Saccharomyces cerevisiae S288C: one gene and its partners. The gene in region 1 interacts genetically with each later gene. Each region holds a gene or a part of one and is shown in the gene's direction. Other genes may lie near its edges. The genes, in order: SCS2, ELF1, DYN3 and RIM8.

Region 1 (3,960 bases):
AAACGTGGGAAGGATTCATTGGTGGATGCAGATGAGATGGAGCCCCCGATGGCGATGACCCACGATACAATTGCCAAAGAAATTGATGATATAGCGAAAGGATCGGCATAAAATTTTTTCATTTTAAAAGAATGGTCGGTAGCCATACGTGAAGGTTTACGAGGAGTTGGTCTTATCTTTGATGATATTGACATATTTTGAAAACGTGATTTTTGGTGTTTCTGAAAAGATGGCGTTGATCTATAATGTCCAATGTTGTTTTCAAATTATTGGGTTGGCTACTGTTAATAACACGCCCTTTCTTTTAGCGATTCTGTTGAGCAAAGAAAGCTGATATGATAGACAATGATACCTCACTGAAAACGAGGCTCAATGACTTTATTCGTGTTCCTGTGTTCTTTGCATATTTCAGCAATCGCTGAAATTTTTATAATACGTATGAAGCAAAAGCCCGACTCCGAAAGCTGTTGTGTGTAAATAGATTGAACGCGTTGGGAATGTAAAACGCGATTAAGAATTTCTGATTTAACGCAGGTGCTAGGTTATTAATAGTTTCTTACGCGGATATGTAGGTTCAAGGGTCTATGTACGTATGGAGGAATAGCAAAAAAAGAATGAGTATACTCTTGCTTATTTAGTTTAGCTTCAAAGCTGCGGTCAGGCAGGTGATCATGATTATTAGCCCCCAGATAAACAAGAGAAGACCTGTGTATTTGAAAATCTTTGTCGTCAATGGCACGGCTGTCTTGTGCTCAGTTCCTATAAGCTTGTAGCCAAAGAGCCCGGGCAGAATGAAAGAAATAGAAGTGGAGCCTGTGGCCCCAACAATGGCCAGTACACGGGCCAAGGAGGAAACCGAAATGGCGACAAGATATGATGCAACTAAAATGCTGCACGTTATAACAATAAAGCTCTTGCCTCTCAATGGAGTCTCCTTAGGCTGATAAATAGATTCTTCTTCAATTACCTCATTGAGGTCAAGGCTACTGTCGCGAATCAACGGAGAACTTTCGGTAGCAACAGTGGGTTCATCCGCCGATGTAGCACTTATACTTACATTTTCCTCGGCGAAGTGTTGCAAAATCTGATGGATTGAAGCTCTTGCAGGATGACACTGTAGTGGGAACGCCAGCATCACCAACAACACAATCGCTATTCTGCCGATGGTGCTCGAGACCGCTTGCGGGTACAGCATGATAATGTTTCCAATGATGTTGTCGCCGAATGTCAGGTATCCAGCACAGCCGATCGCAATATATAAGATGAGAGCCAAAGATATTGCTATCAGTGGAATCTTCATCACATGCTCGAACCGGCTTGACCTCTGCTCATTGATTATTGAAAACATATTGTGGTGACATGTGTAGGCAAAGACAAAAATTGGAAGAGTGTTTAGCACGTTCAAATCATGCGATTGTGGTGGCAGGAGGTAGGAGATCCGGCCTTTCAAGCGAAGAATCTCATCTGATGGTGCTACATAGTGCAACAACACCAAAACACACAAGTACGCTACAGAAGAGATGGCCACCATGGAAGCGTACCTCAACGAATTCAACTTCTTCAGAAAAGACAGCGGGGCCACGAAAAAAAGCATGATCAGTGAAATTTGCACGTTCCTGTTCAACAGCCAAGCATTTCTGGTCCACACAGACATTATTTGGGGCATCAGATCCCCAACTACAATCATATAAGAGACGCCCACACCAAAACACTTGATAGCGATCGCTAGGTCAAACACAATACCTAGATTTGGGTTAATCAACCGCGTCAGAGCACTGAACGAGGCCCTCCCCTGTGGTACGTATTTAGCTACACGAGCTTGTATGAACAAGCTTTGCATAGCGCACGCCCCACACAGCACTATCATTATCACTCCAGGAATTAATCCAAACGGCTTGAATGCGTACGGCATGGCCAGGATACCAGCACCGCACGCCGTGTGTAAAAGTGTCAGCACACCTGATCTAATACTAGCTACCATATGATGCACGATTCCTTTCTATGGTTATTGAGCTGTGAAACTAACCCGTCGTTCGACCATTGTTGTTCTATATACTTCTAGTTGCTGTATAGATAAGCTCTCCGATCCCCTAAACGTGCGTGGTGATCTTACTCTTTCGCCCTCGCTTTTTTTTTTTCGCTTGTTGTTTTCGCAAGGTGAATAGAATGGTTTTAGTAGCAAAGTGCATTGTTTATTGTGTGGTGTGGTTTGACGCACATTCTGTGTTAATAGTGTAGCAGAAGGGTATTCTACAATCTCCGCGAACCTAAGTATGTCTGCTGTTGAAATTTCCCCTGACGTGTTGGTGTATAAGTCTCCATTAACGGAGCAATCGACAGAATACGCTAGTATTTCCAACAATTCAGACCAAACCATTGCATTTAAGGTCAAGACCACAGCCCCAAAGTTTTACTGCGTGAGACCAAACGCCGCAGTTGTTGCTCCAGGTGAAACAATCCAGGTTCAAGTTATCTTCCTGGGTTTGACTGAAGAGCCTGCCGCAGACTTTAAGTGCCGTGACAAGTTCCTGGTTATCACGTTGCCTTCTCCTTACGACCTCAATGGCAAGGCTGTTGCAGATGTTTGGTCCGACTTGGAGGCTGAGTTCAAGCAACAGGCTATCTCTAAAAAGATAAAAGTCAAATATTTGATAAGTCCAGATGTACACCCAGCACAGAACCAAAATATACAGGAAAACAAGGAAACTGTTGAACCAGTAGTCCAAGACAGTGAGCCAAAGGAAGTGCCTGCTGTGGTAAACGAAAAGGAGGTCCCTGCTGAACCGGAAACTCAACCTCCCGTCCAAGTAAAGAAAGAAGAGGTCCCACCTGTCGTTCAGAAAACCGTTCCTCATGAAAATGAGAAGCAAACGTCCAACAGCACTCCGGCCCCACAGAACCAGATAAAGGAAGCCGCAACCGTACCTGCAGAAAATGAATCATCCAGCATGGGTATATTCATATTGGTTGCACTCCTTATCTTGGTTTTAGGATGGTTCTACAGATAATAGGGAGATTGAGGATATAGCTGTATTCTAAATATATATTTATATATGTGTGTGTTTTGCCCTTTCCTTCCTTTCAGTCTTTATTTTACTTTGTTTTTCTACAATCTTTTTTTATTGTTTCCTTCTGTAGCCTTTACAATACTAGAACAAGGAACTAAAAGATCATACTTTCCTAACTTTTTTATATGTTTTATTTTTTAAATAGGAGAATAATCGATAACTATACCACTGTTGTAACATATTACTTGTTTAATTTATTCATGTTCGGTTTCCCTAGTGTAGTAGGCGCTATCTTGGGCAAATAACTATCCGTTATTAACCATAACAATGCGGGGTCTACTAAATGAGGGGAGGGTCTTGGATGCACATTAACGAAGATCTTGCGAGGGGGTCGCGCCTAAAAGGTCCATAAATAAATGAATACATAAACAGCCACCTACTTTCAGTTTGTTTTTTGCTAGGTCTCATAGTGAACGAGGGACTCACATATTGACAATATAGTAACATGGGCTTATCGCGCTGGCACGACAAGAATTCAAGGCCAGCAGAGGAAAAGAGCGAAGAAATGCAACAGGATGCGCACTACTACGCCCTTGCGGCAAGTGATAGTTTAAATGCAAGTGTTTCTAACGAATATGGTAATCAAGTAATGAACTCGTTTTGGAAAGTGGGTATAGACTCTCCCTATGTGGACGATGAAGCAATTAGAAACAGAGATGTCGAAAATAACTTACCTTCTTTAAAGCAAAGTGTTTATAATGCTAATGAACCAAATGCTACCTCGTCTGCATTTTCAACCGCTTCATACGCACATGAAACTTTCGATTTTAGAAACCTTAAACTAAGATAAGGGGGGATGAAGAATAAGAATAAACGCACGTACAATGCATATACAACCGTTTCTATGTACCATAAATATAATTATCATATAATGAAAAATGAGAATAAAAAA
Region 2 (4,003 bases), on another chromosome or scaffold:
CGATATCAAACTATTCCAGGCCGAATTAATCTGGCGGTAAGTCACCTTTAGTTATCCTTCCATTTTGTCCCTTTTCATCCAGTCTCAAACGACAATTAGGACTTACATTAAATAGGCTTTTTGCCTAGTATAACATCATAAAAGTACCTTCTTTTGTTTCTTCCAAAAAAAGACAGTAACCATCTGAAAAGAACGTCATTGTCGAAAATTACAAAGTTTGTGGCAGCGCTTTTTACTGCAGCAAGTCAATTGCTTTCATGGCATTTTCAATCAAAATACGAGTTCTTACTAATTCCTACGGTGCTTCCTGCATTGATTGATCGCGAGTTACTATTTTTAACTCGAATGGGTCTGCGCGTGTTTCTCCGGTGTTGTTCAAAATAATCTGTTTGCTGCGTTTAATAACTACAACAGTTAACGGAAACAGTGAAATTTATTGGGGACTTTCAAGTAACGAATAATCATGCTGGTAGAAATATTTCTATTTTTATAATTAACAAATCTTTTAATGACGTCTTGTGGGCTGAAAACTACGGCGTTTATTTTTTAGATAGGTTATTCCTTCGTTGGATTGAGTAAGAAAATGTCGATACTGTGTTACGTTTGCAAGGAAAAGATTTAGTTGCGATTAGCCATTCATTCTTGTGGAAACTTCTTTAAAAAGGGATGGCGATGGAGTACTTATGTCCAATTATGAAGTCAAATTTATTTTCAAACCGTTACACGTAGATTATTTTCCTGCAGTGGTAAGTATCTTTGAAGTGTTGAAAGTTTTTTGGCACATATTTTTTTGCGGATGTGGGCCTGAGTTTCCTGTTAGAAACAAAGATATGCTTAAAACTAAATAACATTGGAAATTAGGGCATAGTCTTCAATGTTATACTTAAACATCACAGCAGGAGATTGAGATGATTGAAAGAATGGTGCAAGAAATGATTCATTAACATTCTTCCAAGTTTTGCAATATTTGCAAGTATTACTATCAGACTTTAGTTGAAGTGACTATGCTATTACCAAATTTCACTGGAGCCAGAAAAATAAAGATCACTTAGAGACAAAGAAAAGTAACATCTTCAACATAAGCCGGAGCTCAAAAGTAGGAAATCGGATAAGAAACTTGATTCTGTTATTTCAAGTGATTTTTTGCTGTATCGCCCACGTTCTTGTTGTAGATGTTTTGTAGATGTGGGACCGAAAGTAAGTGAACAGTGAAGTAAACAGAATAGGATTCTAAAAAAGAGCTTATAAACTGTTCTTTAAAATTTTTTCTTTCGTGAATGTCCTCGAGCTATCTCAAAGAAAACGAAATCTTCATTCAACTTAAGTGTAGGTATTATTTGCTGTTTCATCAAATGCGGCACCAAAGTGGAAGTATTCTAGTCAGTTAGTTTTTCATTGTGAGGAATTGATATGTCGTTCTCTGATAGAACCACGCTAAGTTGGTGTTCAATTTTTTGCAATTCGGTAGTAATTATGCCTTGCAACATGTTTTATTCTTTTATAGTGTGATACCGTCAATATGATGATTTGCGGTGGAGCATGCATGTGCTTACTAGAAGTGCTGCTCTGGTGGGCATTTTAGGGACAAGAATAAATTCTTCTCTCCACTATCTGAACTTCCGTTATTCTTCTGCACGTAATTGCCGTTTTTAGGATTTTTTGGAGTTGTCACGGTATAGATATGTCTTATTGCGTGATTTCACGGTGTCTTGCACACAACATTTCCAGGTCACAATATTTGGTTCGAGGTTCCCAGCAAGAATTCATTATCCTTTTCAATGTGTCGCATTAAATCATTATCCAAAAACAAAAGAACTTAAGAAGTACAAAAGACACTTGAAGTATGCTAGCGTAAGAAATACGGTAACCAATATTTATATGTAACATGCTTATTCTGTCATGATTTCACAGTTCAAACTACATTCCTATTCAAAATCATCGCGTTAGTGAGACAAAATCGGTGGGAGAGATGTTAGACAAAAAGATGACAACATTGGAAATAAACCACGACGAAAAATACCTTTGAAAGGATCTTTTTTCGATTTTCCTGTGAATTTGTAGGCTTTTGATGGTACGAGGGTAAACCAAACTGGACGGGAAATCACCATTATTAGTCCTATGTAGAGCCTCGTCACCATACCTATATAAACATAACTATTCTTTTAAGTACTTAAACGGCTTTTTTCTGAAACAAATAGCCAATGTTTTCATAACGAAGATTCCAAAGTTACTTAACGCTCTTCAGGCACTTCCTTATTTATTATGACACGTACAAAATAATAAATTCGTAGTTATAAGATTATCTTATCATATTTAAAATATCTCTTCTTTCAGTTGAAATTGGGCCCAAAATTTTTACCCCATAGCGTTAAAATTAAACAAAAACTGCTATTTCGGTGACAAATTGTAAAAATTCTGAAAACGGAAGAAACAAAAACGTTTAAAATGATTAAACTTTGGTAAAGCAATAATCTACAAATAATTGGAAAAGGAATAGTAATAAAGATGGGGAGAATTATGAAGAAGAATGTCATAAAAAACACTGAAAACAATTAACGAGCCATGGGTAAAAGAAAGAAGTCAACAAGAAAGCCTACCAAGAGACTGGTCCAAAAATTAGATACGAAATTCAATTGTTTATTTTGTAATCATGAAAAATCAGTTTCATGCACTCTGGACAAAAAAAATAGTATAGGAACTTTATCGTGCAAGATTTGTGGGCAGTCGTTCCAAACGCGCATAAATTCATTATCACAGCCTGTTGATGTATATAGTGATTGGTTTGACGCCGTCGAAGAAGTCAATTCTGGCCGTGGAAGTGACACAGATGATGGTGACGAAGGTTCTGATAGTGATTACGAAAGTGATTCAGAGCAAGATGCTAAAACGCAAAATGATGGCGAAATAGATTCTGATGAAGAGGAGGTAGACTCGGACGAGGAGAGGATAGGCCAAGTTAAAAGAGGCAGAGGCGCCTTGGTAGATAGTGACGATGAATAATCCGGTCCTGAGAAAAAACCATATTTACTTAGGTCATATATATTTTATATTTTAAAGCAACCACCCGTAAGCATTTAAGTCTCTTAAGCCAACAAATCGCCTCGCCATCTTAATCATCGTCATCAGTATCGAATATAGATTTTGGTGGGAAAGCGGTTTTAACGTGGTCCGCTAATTGCATCTGTCCATTTCCATCGTTCGTGGGACATCTATCAATGGTAATTGCGCCCACCTTTGATTTCAATAACGTGAAAGTACCATTGTTATTTTTGTCTGGATTATTAGGCAATAGTTGGCTAGCTTCCAACCGCTGCTGCTGGTCCTGTTGTATATGACTTTGTATATGCCTTTGTGGCGCATCCTCACATTTGCTGAAATCGAATTCGGGAGGTGGTGATGCTGGGGGCGATATCAGGAACATTTTTTCACTCTCTGGTACCTTCAAGTATTGTTTAGTTAAATTCCTTTGTCCGTCTTGCAAGGAGTAGCTGAAGTTAAAATTTTCCATTTCTAAAGCACGAGACGCATCCATAACATGCTGAGATATATCATGACTGGGGCAGATCAACAGTATTCTTTTAAACCTTTTCAAAATAATCAACTGTAGTGGTTCATTTTCATTGATTTGAAACTTCCTTAAGATATTCTTGGATAGCCAAACCTGGATTCTTTCAACATTATCATTATCAACAATGTCGCACTTATCCGAGGTTATAATTATCGTATCCGTTATAATATTACCCATCTGCAGTTCTGTGTTTTATATATCGGTTGGTTTATTGCTTGATCTTTTTGGCCCTCTTTTTTTCATGGAATTACTGTATTTAAAAAGAAAACCATACTTTATATAGAAGTCATTGGGCAGAAGGGTCTTGTCAACGAGCCGCCTAGGAACTACACCTGACAGCAACTTGCGGCAAGATAGTAAGATAGCATAATTCAAAGCCTCTTGAACCTTACAGCGCCTTGCCGCGGTTTGGTAAACTTCTAAACTGTGTATGTT
Region 3 (4,395 bases), on another chromosome or scaffold:
TCACGTTTGGATATCATCCCGATAGGAAAATTTTAAAGAATGCCAGCTTTACCATCCCAGCAGGCTGGAAAACCGCAATAGTTGGGTCTTCGGGCAGTGGGAAGTCCACCATTTTAAAATTAGTCTTTAGATTTTATGATCCTGAAAGCGGAAGGATCCTCATAAACGGTAGAGATATTAAAGAATATGACATCGATGCCTTGAGGAAGGTGATTGGTGTGGTACCACAGGACACACCACTTTTCAATGACACTATCTGGGAAAATGTAAAGTTCGGTCGTATTGACGCAACCGACGAGGAAGTGATAACTGTAGTTGAAAAAGCCCAGCTAGCACCCTTAATCAAGAAATTACCACAAGGTTTTGACACCATCGTCGGGGAGCGAGGGTTGATGATCAGCGGTGGTGAAAAGCAAAGGCTGGCAATTGCAAGGGTACTATTGAAGAATGCAAGGATCATGTTTTTTGACGAGGCCACAAGCGCCTTGGACACACACACAGAACAAGCTCTCTTACGAACCATTAGAGATAACTTTACTTCGGGTTCGAGAACGAGTGTATACATCGCACATAGACTGAGGACAATTGCAGATGCAGACAAGATCATAGTCCTTGACAACGGAAGAGTAAGAGAGGAAGGTAAGCATCTTGAACTGTTGGCTATGCCAGGGTCATTGTACCGCGAACTTTGGACCATACAAGAAGATCTGGATCATTTAGAGAATGAACTAAAAGACCAGCAAGAACTATGAACGCTCGTAAGTAAATATTGATTTATACATGTATAAGTTTTTCAAGATTTAAGGAAAAAAGAAAAGTTATTATCTTTCTCCGCGGTTTTTCAATGACCCGATGTATTGACTCTTCCTGACCGAAAATAACAGGACAGAGTTAGAACGAACATGAATAATAAAATATAATCTGGGATCATGAATCCGAATGACTGCTCATGCGGCAAATGTCAGAGCTTCGGTGTATTTAAAGTTTGCTTACTTACAATTTCAATAATAGGTTTGTACTTTTCAGATTCTTATTATTAAGTCAAGGTAAAGTCCTTCGTTTTTTTTTTTTTCATTTTAGAAAAATTTCAACAGCCACCGTACAATTTTATTCACTTTTAAGTCATAGTTGCGAAGACATCGTCTTGAAAGTAGTAGATTTCGTTCTAATAAGTTTAGCAAAGAAAGAGGTACAGCAAACAGCAGAATAGAAAAAATGTGTGGTATTTTAGGTATTGTATTAGCAAACCAAACCACTCCAGTAGCTCCGGAGTTATGTGATGGATGCATTTTTCTACAACATCGTGGACAAGATGCAGCTGGTATAGCTACCTGTGGTTCTCGTGGTAGAATCTACCAATGTAAAGGTAATGGTATGGCTCGTGACGTATTTACCCAACAACGTGTTTCCGGTCTTGCTGGTTCCATGGGTATTGCCCACTTGAGATATCCTACAGCCGGGTCTTCGGCTAATTCAGAAGCGCAACCATTTTACGTCAATAGTCCTTACGGTATTAACTTGGCACATAACGGTAACTTGGTGAATACTGCATCATTGAAGAGATATATGGATGAAGACGTTCATAGACATATTAACACGGACAGTGATTCGGAGTTACTATTGAATATTTTTGCTGCTGAACTGGAAAAACATAACAAGTACAGAGTTAACAATGAAGATGTTTTCCACGCGTTAGAAGGTGTTTACCGTTTATGCCGTGGCGGTTATGCTTGCGTTGGTTTACTTGCCGGTTTTGCATTATTTGGTTTCAGAGATCCAAATGGTATTAGGCCATTATTGTTCGGTGAAAGAGAAAATCCGGACGGCACTAAGGACTATATGTTAGCTTCAGAAAGTGTTGTTTTCAAAGCTCACAACTTTACTAAATATCGTGACTTAAAGCCTGGCGAGGCAGTTATCATCCCTAAGAACTGTAGCAAAGGTGAACCTGAGTTCAAACAAGTGGTTCCTATTAACTCTTATAGACCTGATTTATTTGAATACGTATATTTCGCCAGACCGGACAGTGTCTTGGATGGAATATCAGTTTATCACACAAGATTGGCTATGGGTTCTAAATTAGCGGAAAATATTCTAAAGCAACTGAAGCCAGAAGATATTGATGTTGTTATTCCCGTCCCAGATACTGCAAGAACATGTGCACTAGAATGTGCTAATGTGTTAGGGAAGCCTTATAGAGAGGGCTTTGTTAAAAACAGATACGTGGGCAGGACATTTATCATGCCAAACCAGAGGGAAAGGGTTTCTTCAGTAAGGAGGAAGCTTAACCCTATGGAGTCTGAATTTAAGGGTAAGAAGGTTCTGATAGTGGATGATTCTATTGTCAGAGGTACTACTTCAAAAGAGATTGTTAACATGGCCAAGGAATCCGGTGCAACAAAGGTTTACTTCGCTTCAGCTGCCCCAGCCATTCGTTACAACCATATTTATGGTATTGACTTAACAGACACAAAGAACTTGATTGCTTATAACAGAACCGATGAAGAAGTGGCGGAAGTAATCGGTTGTGAAAGAGTCATTTACCAATCATTGGAAGATTTGATTGATTGTTGTAAAACTGATAAAATAACCAAATTCGAAGATGGTGTATTTACCGGAAATTATGTCACTGGTGTTGAAGACGGTTATATTCAAGAATTGGAAGAAAAACGTGAATCGATCGCAAATAATTCATCAGATATGAAGGCTGAAGTCGATATCGGATTATATAATTGTGCAGATTATTGATAGATTGTTCCGAACTTGTTCAGTTGTATGTAAAATAGTTTCCAAATGCGCCCATTTATACATAATTATCTTTGTATTCTGACCTAAACTAAATATATATATATATATGCACGTATTAAAAAAAAAAATAAAAGCAAAAAGGTAAACAAAGAGAAGTAATCCGCAACTTGTACAAAAAGAAAAGAAGATAAAAGAATTGTATGTATTAATGGATAATTGTAATGCCTGGGACAAATTATTGTCTCAGAATGAATCCACAATCAACAGCACAGAGACTGCTACGATAACAGCAATCATATATTCCCCATCAAGTAAAACACTGCATCAATTTATAAATATCTGTTTTCCAGAGGGAAGCAATTCAATACTGGATACCACTTTGATTAATTACGCCACCATAGGATGGACCAACGACTTAAAGGAAAATTATTCTGTCGATGTTTACACGCTAATAAGAAACACTGACGATGCACTAGATCTTCTAAAGCCGTTTTTACAAGAACATAGTTCGAAGGTTCGCTGGCTCATATTATTAGATTGGACACTGAACGACCAAAAGTTGTGGCTGAATGAACTATCCTACGCATTCAATAAAATTAAGCAACTGAATGACGATAATGAATTTTCTGTATGGTGCTTAAACAGTGGCGAAATATTAAACTTACAAAGACACACTACAGTATGGCAGTCAGTACATATTGACTTCATTTTGCAAACGTTAAGATCGTTTTGCTATTTTAATGATAGCTCACTATTCTATATATGCGAAGACCATACCGAAGAGAAACGAGAGGAAGCACAAAGGCTTAAATACCAAGAGCTTCTAAAGCATTTTTGTGAAGATAGAGATATGAAAGATCATATTGAAATGGTCAAACGCAGTGAGATATTAATACCGAAGGGGTGCGATTCTATTGGATTGATAAAAACAGTAGACGAAAGATTTGAGCCTACTGAGGTGAAAGAGCAACACTTTTTGGCCCGATATATGGACTTTATACCAACAATTGATAAAATCAGAGAAGATAGGAAAACAACCTCTGGTATCGACCTTGATAAACTATATCCTTTAGAAGTTTTCAAAGTTAATATTCAAGAGGAATTAGGCAAAATGTTCGCAAAATATAGGGAAAATTCGAGGATTTAGGAAAGTGGGCAGGCGATACTTCTTTTATCATGAGCAATTTTTTTCTCTTTATATGTATAAATATAGATATGCACACGCATTTATAAATCCCTATATCAGGGTTGGATTTCTTCTATGTTTATGTATGTAAAAGAAAGAATTCACATGTGATAAATTGTGGAATCAGCACATAGTTCTTGAACCAGCTCAGAGTCTGTGTCGTACCCGACATAAGCTACGTAGCCAGGTTCACCTTTATCTTCGTGAATTGGGTAGTGGACGGGTGGAACATTATCATTCTCGATGATACAGAACGAGAGATGTTCATCATTTGGTTCATAATCTCTAGTGATTCTCTTTACTATAGTTTTATATTCGCCTCTTTTGTCACAACTTGGCCCACCACGTGCCCAAAGCTTGATTACTGAGCCAGACTGGGGTTCTTTGATTGGGGTACAATGGAACCATTCATAGTTAATTCTTGTACCATACTTGAAGTATTCAACCGCAGCGATCAGCAA
Region 4 (5,212 bases), on another chromosome or scaffold:
AACGAGTCAGAAGCCAGCTCTTTCAAACAATGGGTATTATTGAAGAAAAGGCTCTTTTTGTTACGTGTGGGGCAACGGTGCCATTTCCAAAGCTCGTCTCATGTGTGCTAAGCGACGAATTCTGCCAAGAATTGATTCAATATGGATTCGTACGTCTAATCATTCAGTTTGGGAGAAACTACAGTTCTGAATTTGAGCATTTAGTGCAAGAACGCGGGGGCCAAAGAGAAAGCCAAAAAATTCCAATTGACCAGTTTGGCTGTGGCGACACCGCAAGACAGTATGTCCTGATGAACGGGAAATTAAAGGTGATCGGGTTTGACTTTTCGACCAAGATGCAAAGTATTATACGTGATTATTCAGATTTGGTCATATCACACGCTGGAACGGGCTCTATACTAGATTCTCTACGGTTGAATAAACCGTTGATAGTTTGCGTAAACGATTCTTTGATGGATAACCACCAGCAGCAGATAGCAGACAAGTTTGTAGAGTTGGGCTACGTATGGTCTTGTGCACCCACTGAAACAGGTTTGATAGCTGGTTTACGTGCATCTCAAACAGAGAAACTCAAACCATTCCCAGTTTCTCATAACCCGTCATTTGAGCGATTGCTAGTTGAAACTATATACAGCTAGTTAGTAAGATTTTAAAAGACGAAAAGAACGGAAAGTAGGACAACTACCAAAAAAAAAGATGGAAGGTTTCTTTGGTTAGTTAGCAGTATCCGCGTAATGCCTTAGACGTTTTTGATCAGAAAAAAATAAAACTTGATTTCGCCCAGGATCGAACTGGGGACGTTCTGCGTGTTAAGCAGATGCCATAACCGACTAGACCACGAAACCAGTTTTTTGATGTTTCGTTTAGGGACAAGAGTCCTATGAGAGTCCACTAAAATTCTAAAAATAATTGTATCAACAACCGTCATGCAGCTGTTGTATCAAGAATCGACCACCATCTATAGACTATTGTTCATAGCTGTATTACAATATCATATAAGATGTAAGGATAGAACGTGAAGATCGAGAAACAGTCAGCAGATTTAATGGAAGCTGAAATGCACGGATTGATAATGTAATAGAATAAGTGACAACATAAGAAATGAAAGAAAAAAAATAACATTAATATAATTTAGAAATGTTAGTTTCCTTCTATGAACTCTCGTATCCCTGGGGAGGACTTTCAATATATTCAGTATACCTACCGTTCAAATGATACTCTAAAATATCATCTATTAAGTGGTATTCAGGTTTTTCCCACGCAAGATTGAGTGCGTCAGGCAAAGCCACGATCGCAGATTACTCTCCTAACAATATTAAGATCGTCAAGAACATCCGGTTTTACTCAAGCGCTTAATACAACACGTCGGCTTTCGCTCAACTGCAGTATATTGTGTCTGTAACCTCTCCCGTCAAGTTTGCGCCACGGGCCCAATAACCAACTTCTGCGCCATTGTTACGGAAAAGTGGCCATCTTTGCTATGCTCGTAAGGCTAGCGCTCTCTAAGTACGCCAGCCCAAAAACTCCGTATCGCTCTTCATCGGAATTGCTATATCTACAGCCGACGGGCACTCTATGTATACTCATATCACAGCCACTGTTGCACTACATTATTCGCAGGGACTCCGAGATCGCTGAGCATGTTGCTAAGCAACTTACCAAGGTTGGAATGCATTATATAGTCCGATATAGACCCCGCTCGGACTATATTATATAAATTCAAATAGCACTTTCAACGAGTGTCTTAATCCGTCCTAGTTCCTGCTCTCGCTCCACGTTGTCATCCCACCCATTCGCACGGGTCTTCTGTGCGAATGAGCCACAACGGGGCCGAGTTCAGCGCGTGTCCGCCTACAACGTCCGCCAACTAGTGGCAATTGCTAGGCTACGCCGACCACGCTGACACGCACCGTTCTACTCGCTCTATGCTGCGGTGTGACGTGTGAACGCGCGATCGTTCGCAATCGTATCGTTTGCCAAGAAAAAAAGCCAATCGGAGAATCTGAAAATCGCTATTCGGCTTGCAGGTCGCACGCACTCAGAGTACGAAATGCCAAGTACCGGAATTTCCTTGGCCTTTTTTAAGTTTCTTCTCTTCTATTCTTTTTCCCCTTTCTTTCTTCCTTTGCTATCTGTCTGGTTTAAATAAACATAGTATTTTTTTGTGTCTAAGCCTCTTCCTCTTCTCTCGTACTTGCTCTACTACCACTTTACTTAATCGCCTTTCTTTGTTTTCTTTCTTCGTTATTTGTTCTTGGACTTTTCCGCTCCAATCCCAACGATTGGCTTCAAAACACGTTCTACTGTCTAGCAATTTCTGCAGGTGCCATTTTTCTTAGGCTTATACCCTTTCCTTTTCCCCTTACATTTGATTTCTTCTTCAAAGTTCCTTATAGTATTATTGTCTAAGCTCTATTGAGTCAAAAGTAACAATCTAGACGAAGAAAAAAAAAAAATAGAAAATAGACATCCCCGAATACGCATCATCTCACGCACGTACAAGATTTTAACGTTAAAGCCAAAGTACGCTAGTATAGTATCATCAGCATCACCCTCACTATCGGTAGCATTGACCAAACATGTCGTTACTGAGACTGTGGAACAAAGAATCAAGGGCACCATCAAAAATAAAGAGTCATGGTATTGTTGGCAGTTACGGCAACAGCATGCTGGCCCATAACAACGTGAAGCAATTTCGTATAGACATAGACGAACCGCATAGAGTATGGAAACCGAATGAAAGCATAACCGGAGAAGCGGTCATTGACATAAAGAGAGACATAACTAACGTAGCGATCAAATTATCGCTAGTATGTGAGGTTCGCGTGAAAACGGGGAACAGTCCAACCTCCAAGAATAAGAGAATTGAGAAAACCTTAGAGAAGTCGACGTTTCTTTATGGACAGGACTACGTAAAGACAGCTTTTTCGGCTAAGGAAAAGAAACCGCATGTTGACAAAACCACCATTCTCAATGGTTTAAGCAAGGGGGAACACAGGTTTCCCTTTAGGATACGAATACCACGAGGCAGAGGAATGTTGAGCTCTATAAAGTTCGAAAGGGGCTCGATAACATACTTCCTCTCTTGCACTTTAGAATCCCTCAACAACATCAACGGATTAAAAAAACCGGAAGCAAGATGCGAACGTGAGTTTGCAGTCATAGTTCCGCTGGACGTCTCGAGGCTGCCCAAGCCGAAAACTAAGACAGTGGTTTTACAATCAGCATCTATGGTCCAAAACAAAAAGAACAAATCTACAGAGGACGAATCCTCATCGTATACACAATTAACTCAAAAGTCTACTACTTCTAATTCTTCTAGCAGTTCAGTAAACTCCAAGACGTCCCCCTTACCAAATAAAACGGTGACTATATCCGTAGACATACCGCAGGCTGGATTCATGATTGGTGAAATTATCCCTATAGACGTTAAGATTGACCACTATAAGCCTTTCTATGCCCCTGCGGGTCTCACCACCACTTTGGTGAGGATATGTAGGGTGGGCGGTGCAGGCAAAGATGATCCTATGGAGACTTTCAGAAAAGATATATGTCAGAGTATCTCTCCTATATATATTAACCCTGAAACGTTGCAGTTTCAATCTAGAGTTTATCTGAAAGTGCCCCTTGATGCATTTTCGACCCTTACTACTGTGGGAAAATTTTTCTCCTTCCAATACTATATCGAGGTTATGGTTAACTTATCAAAAAAAAACGTGGTTTACACAGAATCTAATAGAATAATAGGAACTCCTATTGGAGAACAAAATGGCTTGGGCGTAGAGAATAATATCAACCGTATCCAAAGGAAAATGCTACGTATGGTCAATCCAGAAACGTTGGAGAACGATTCTGAGGGTTATGAATCCAGTATATTTTTCAAAGATATGGTAAATGTGGAAAAGCTAAAGAGACTGAGGAATGTAACTGGTATGTCCATAGAAACCGTCATAGGAACGACGAGATCCGAACAGCAGCAATCTGATGCAAGCATCCCATCCCAATCCTCAATCACGGCTCCTCAAAATTCTCCATCGAATTTAAGAGATTGGTTGGCCCCATTAAATGCATATGATAGTGACGATGTTCCAGTTCCAAAGTATTCGCCAAATGATAAAGTCAGTGTACCGTCGGAAGACAAACAAGAACTTGAACAAAAAAGACTACAACAGTTAGAAAGCGATCCTCCCCCTTGTGATGACTATTAAAAAGTGCAGGTAACAAGTCATATACTCGCAGCTTGCGCCGTGTTGGAACTAGGCGCCTTAATCATGTTTGCATATTTCCACTATCCCAGCCACGTAATGATCCATGACATTAACATAGAAAAAAAAAATCGAAGCATGCACAAACCTGAGATTTATATATGTTCATGTGTACTTAATATACGTTTAATGATTAAAACTATAGCCGTCCTCAGGCAAACTGAGATAAGAAACGAAAAAATAGCAGTAACGTAAACGTTATTCTATATTTATAAAGACGTCAAAAAAAAAAGTGATTGTGATATTGAGATGTAAGCTATATACCGAACTTTGAGCTCCCTCACGTGGAAAATATGATAGATTGTTGCCTCATCATTGCGGAACCGCATTTTTTTTTTGTATTTTTGCCTCCCTAGTTTCAAAATGCACCAAATTCTCCCCTTAATGCTTTTTGTTTTAAGTCCCAAATAGCCATCCTTTCATCATCGGGCAAGATAGAAATTTGACTGTCATTCAGTTGTAACACCTGTTTCAGTAGTTCTTTCTGTTTGTTAAGCACAGCTGGATCCACCACCTCGTTCACGCTATTGTTATTCGTAGCCGATGCCTCTTCTTGCGGCCTGGAAGCTAACGGGATCAAATCATCCACTTTACATATCCCATTCGTTAGCAATAATTCAGCCGTAACAAAACTCAACTGTGGACACAGCTCTAATAGCGAAACAGCATCTTCAGGATGCGCTCTTGTCCATTCTTGGAATTTTTGTAAAAATTTCAACTGCACCTCTTTCGGTTTTTTAGCTAGTTCGCTCGATATCATCATAGCAGGGGTGGTCATGTTTATGTTAACGTCGATACCAGAGGGCAATTCTGGAAACTTTTGACTTAGAAAATTGGCATTTCCGCTGTTTTGAAAGTCCGGCCCATTACTATTATTATTATTATTTCCATTGTTGTTATTGTTCCCATTAATGTTGTTGTACTGTTGTTGTTGCTGTTGTGAAACT

The links.
Region 2: mutations in SCS2 (region 1) and ELF1 together harm fitness more than expected from each alone (negative genetic interaction), as found in Saccharomyces cerevisiae (2 studies listed by BioGRID).
Region 3: mutations in SCS2 (region 1) and DYN3 together harm fitness more than expected from each alone (negative genetic interaction), as found in Saccharomyces cerevisiae (4 studies listed by BioGRID).
Region 4: mutations in SCS2 (region 1) and RIM8 together harm fitness more than expected from each alone (negative genetic interaction), as found in Saccharomyces cerevisiae (2 studies listed by BioGRID).

What each region holds. Positions count from the first base shown.
Region 1 is NC_001137.3:398,862-402,821, forward strand, and holds SCS2 (phosphatidylinositol-binding protein SCS2), read left to right. Parts: upstream 1-2,273; coding exon 2,274-3,008; downstream 3,009-3,960. Other genes in the region: osmosensor SHO1, read right to left, coding at 1-194; AVT6 (aspartate/glutamate transporter), read right to left, coding at 635-1,981; YER121W (uncharacterized protein), read left to right, coding at 3,514-3,858. UniProt on the Saccharomyces cerevisiae protein: Acts as an endoplasmic reticulum (ER) membrane anchor for cytoplasmic proteins via binding to the FFAT motif of targeted proteins. Regulates phospholipid biosynthesis by modulating the subcellular localization of the transcriptional repressor OPI1.
Region 2 is NC_001143.9:150,707-154,709, forward strand, and holds ELF1 (Elf1p), read left to right. Parts: upstream 1-2,562; coding exon 2,563-3,000; downstream 3,001-4,003. Other genes in the region: RCN1 (Rcn1p), read right to left, coding at 3,110-3,745. UniProt on the Saccharomyces cerevisiae protein: Transcription elongation factor implicated in the maintenance of proper chromatin structure in actively transcribed regions.
Region 3 is NC_001145.3:863,912-868,306, reverse strand, and holds DYN3 (dynein light intermediate chain), read left to right. Parts: upstream 1-2,956; coding exon 2,957-3,895; downstream 3,896-4,395. Other genes in the region: ATP-binding cassette Fe/S cluster precursor transporter ATM1, read left to right, coding at 1-752; ADE4 (amidophosphoribosyltransferase), read left to right, coding at 1,216-2,748; sphingosine N-acyltransferase subunit LIP1, read right to left, coding at 4,036-4,395. UniProt on the Saccharomyces cerevisiae protein: Component of the cytoplasmic dynein which acts as a motor for the intracellular retrograde motility of vesicles and organelles along microtubules. May play an important role in the proper orientation of the mitotic spindle into the budding daughter cell yeast.
Region 4 is NC_001139.9:411,523-416,734, forward strand, and holds RIM8 (Rim8p), read left to right. Parts: upstream 1-2,579; coding exon 2,580-4,208; downstream 4,209-5,212. Other genes in the region: N-acetylglucosaminyldiphosphodolichol N-acetylglucosaminyltransferase catalytic subunit ALG13, read left to right, coding at 30-638; RNA15 (Rna15p), read right to left, coding at 4,624-5,212.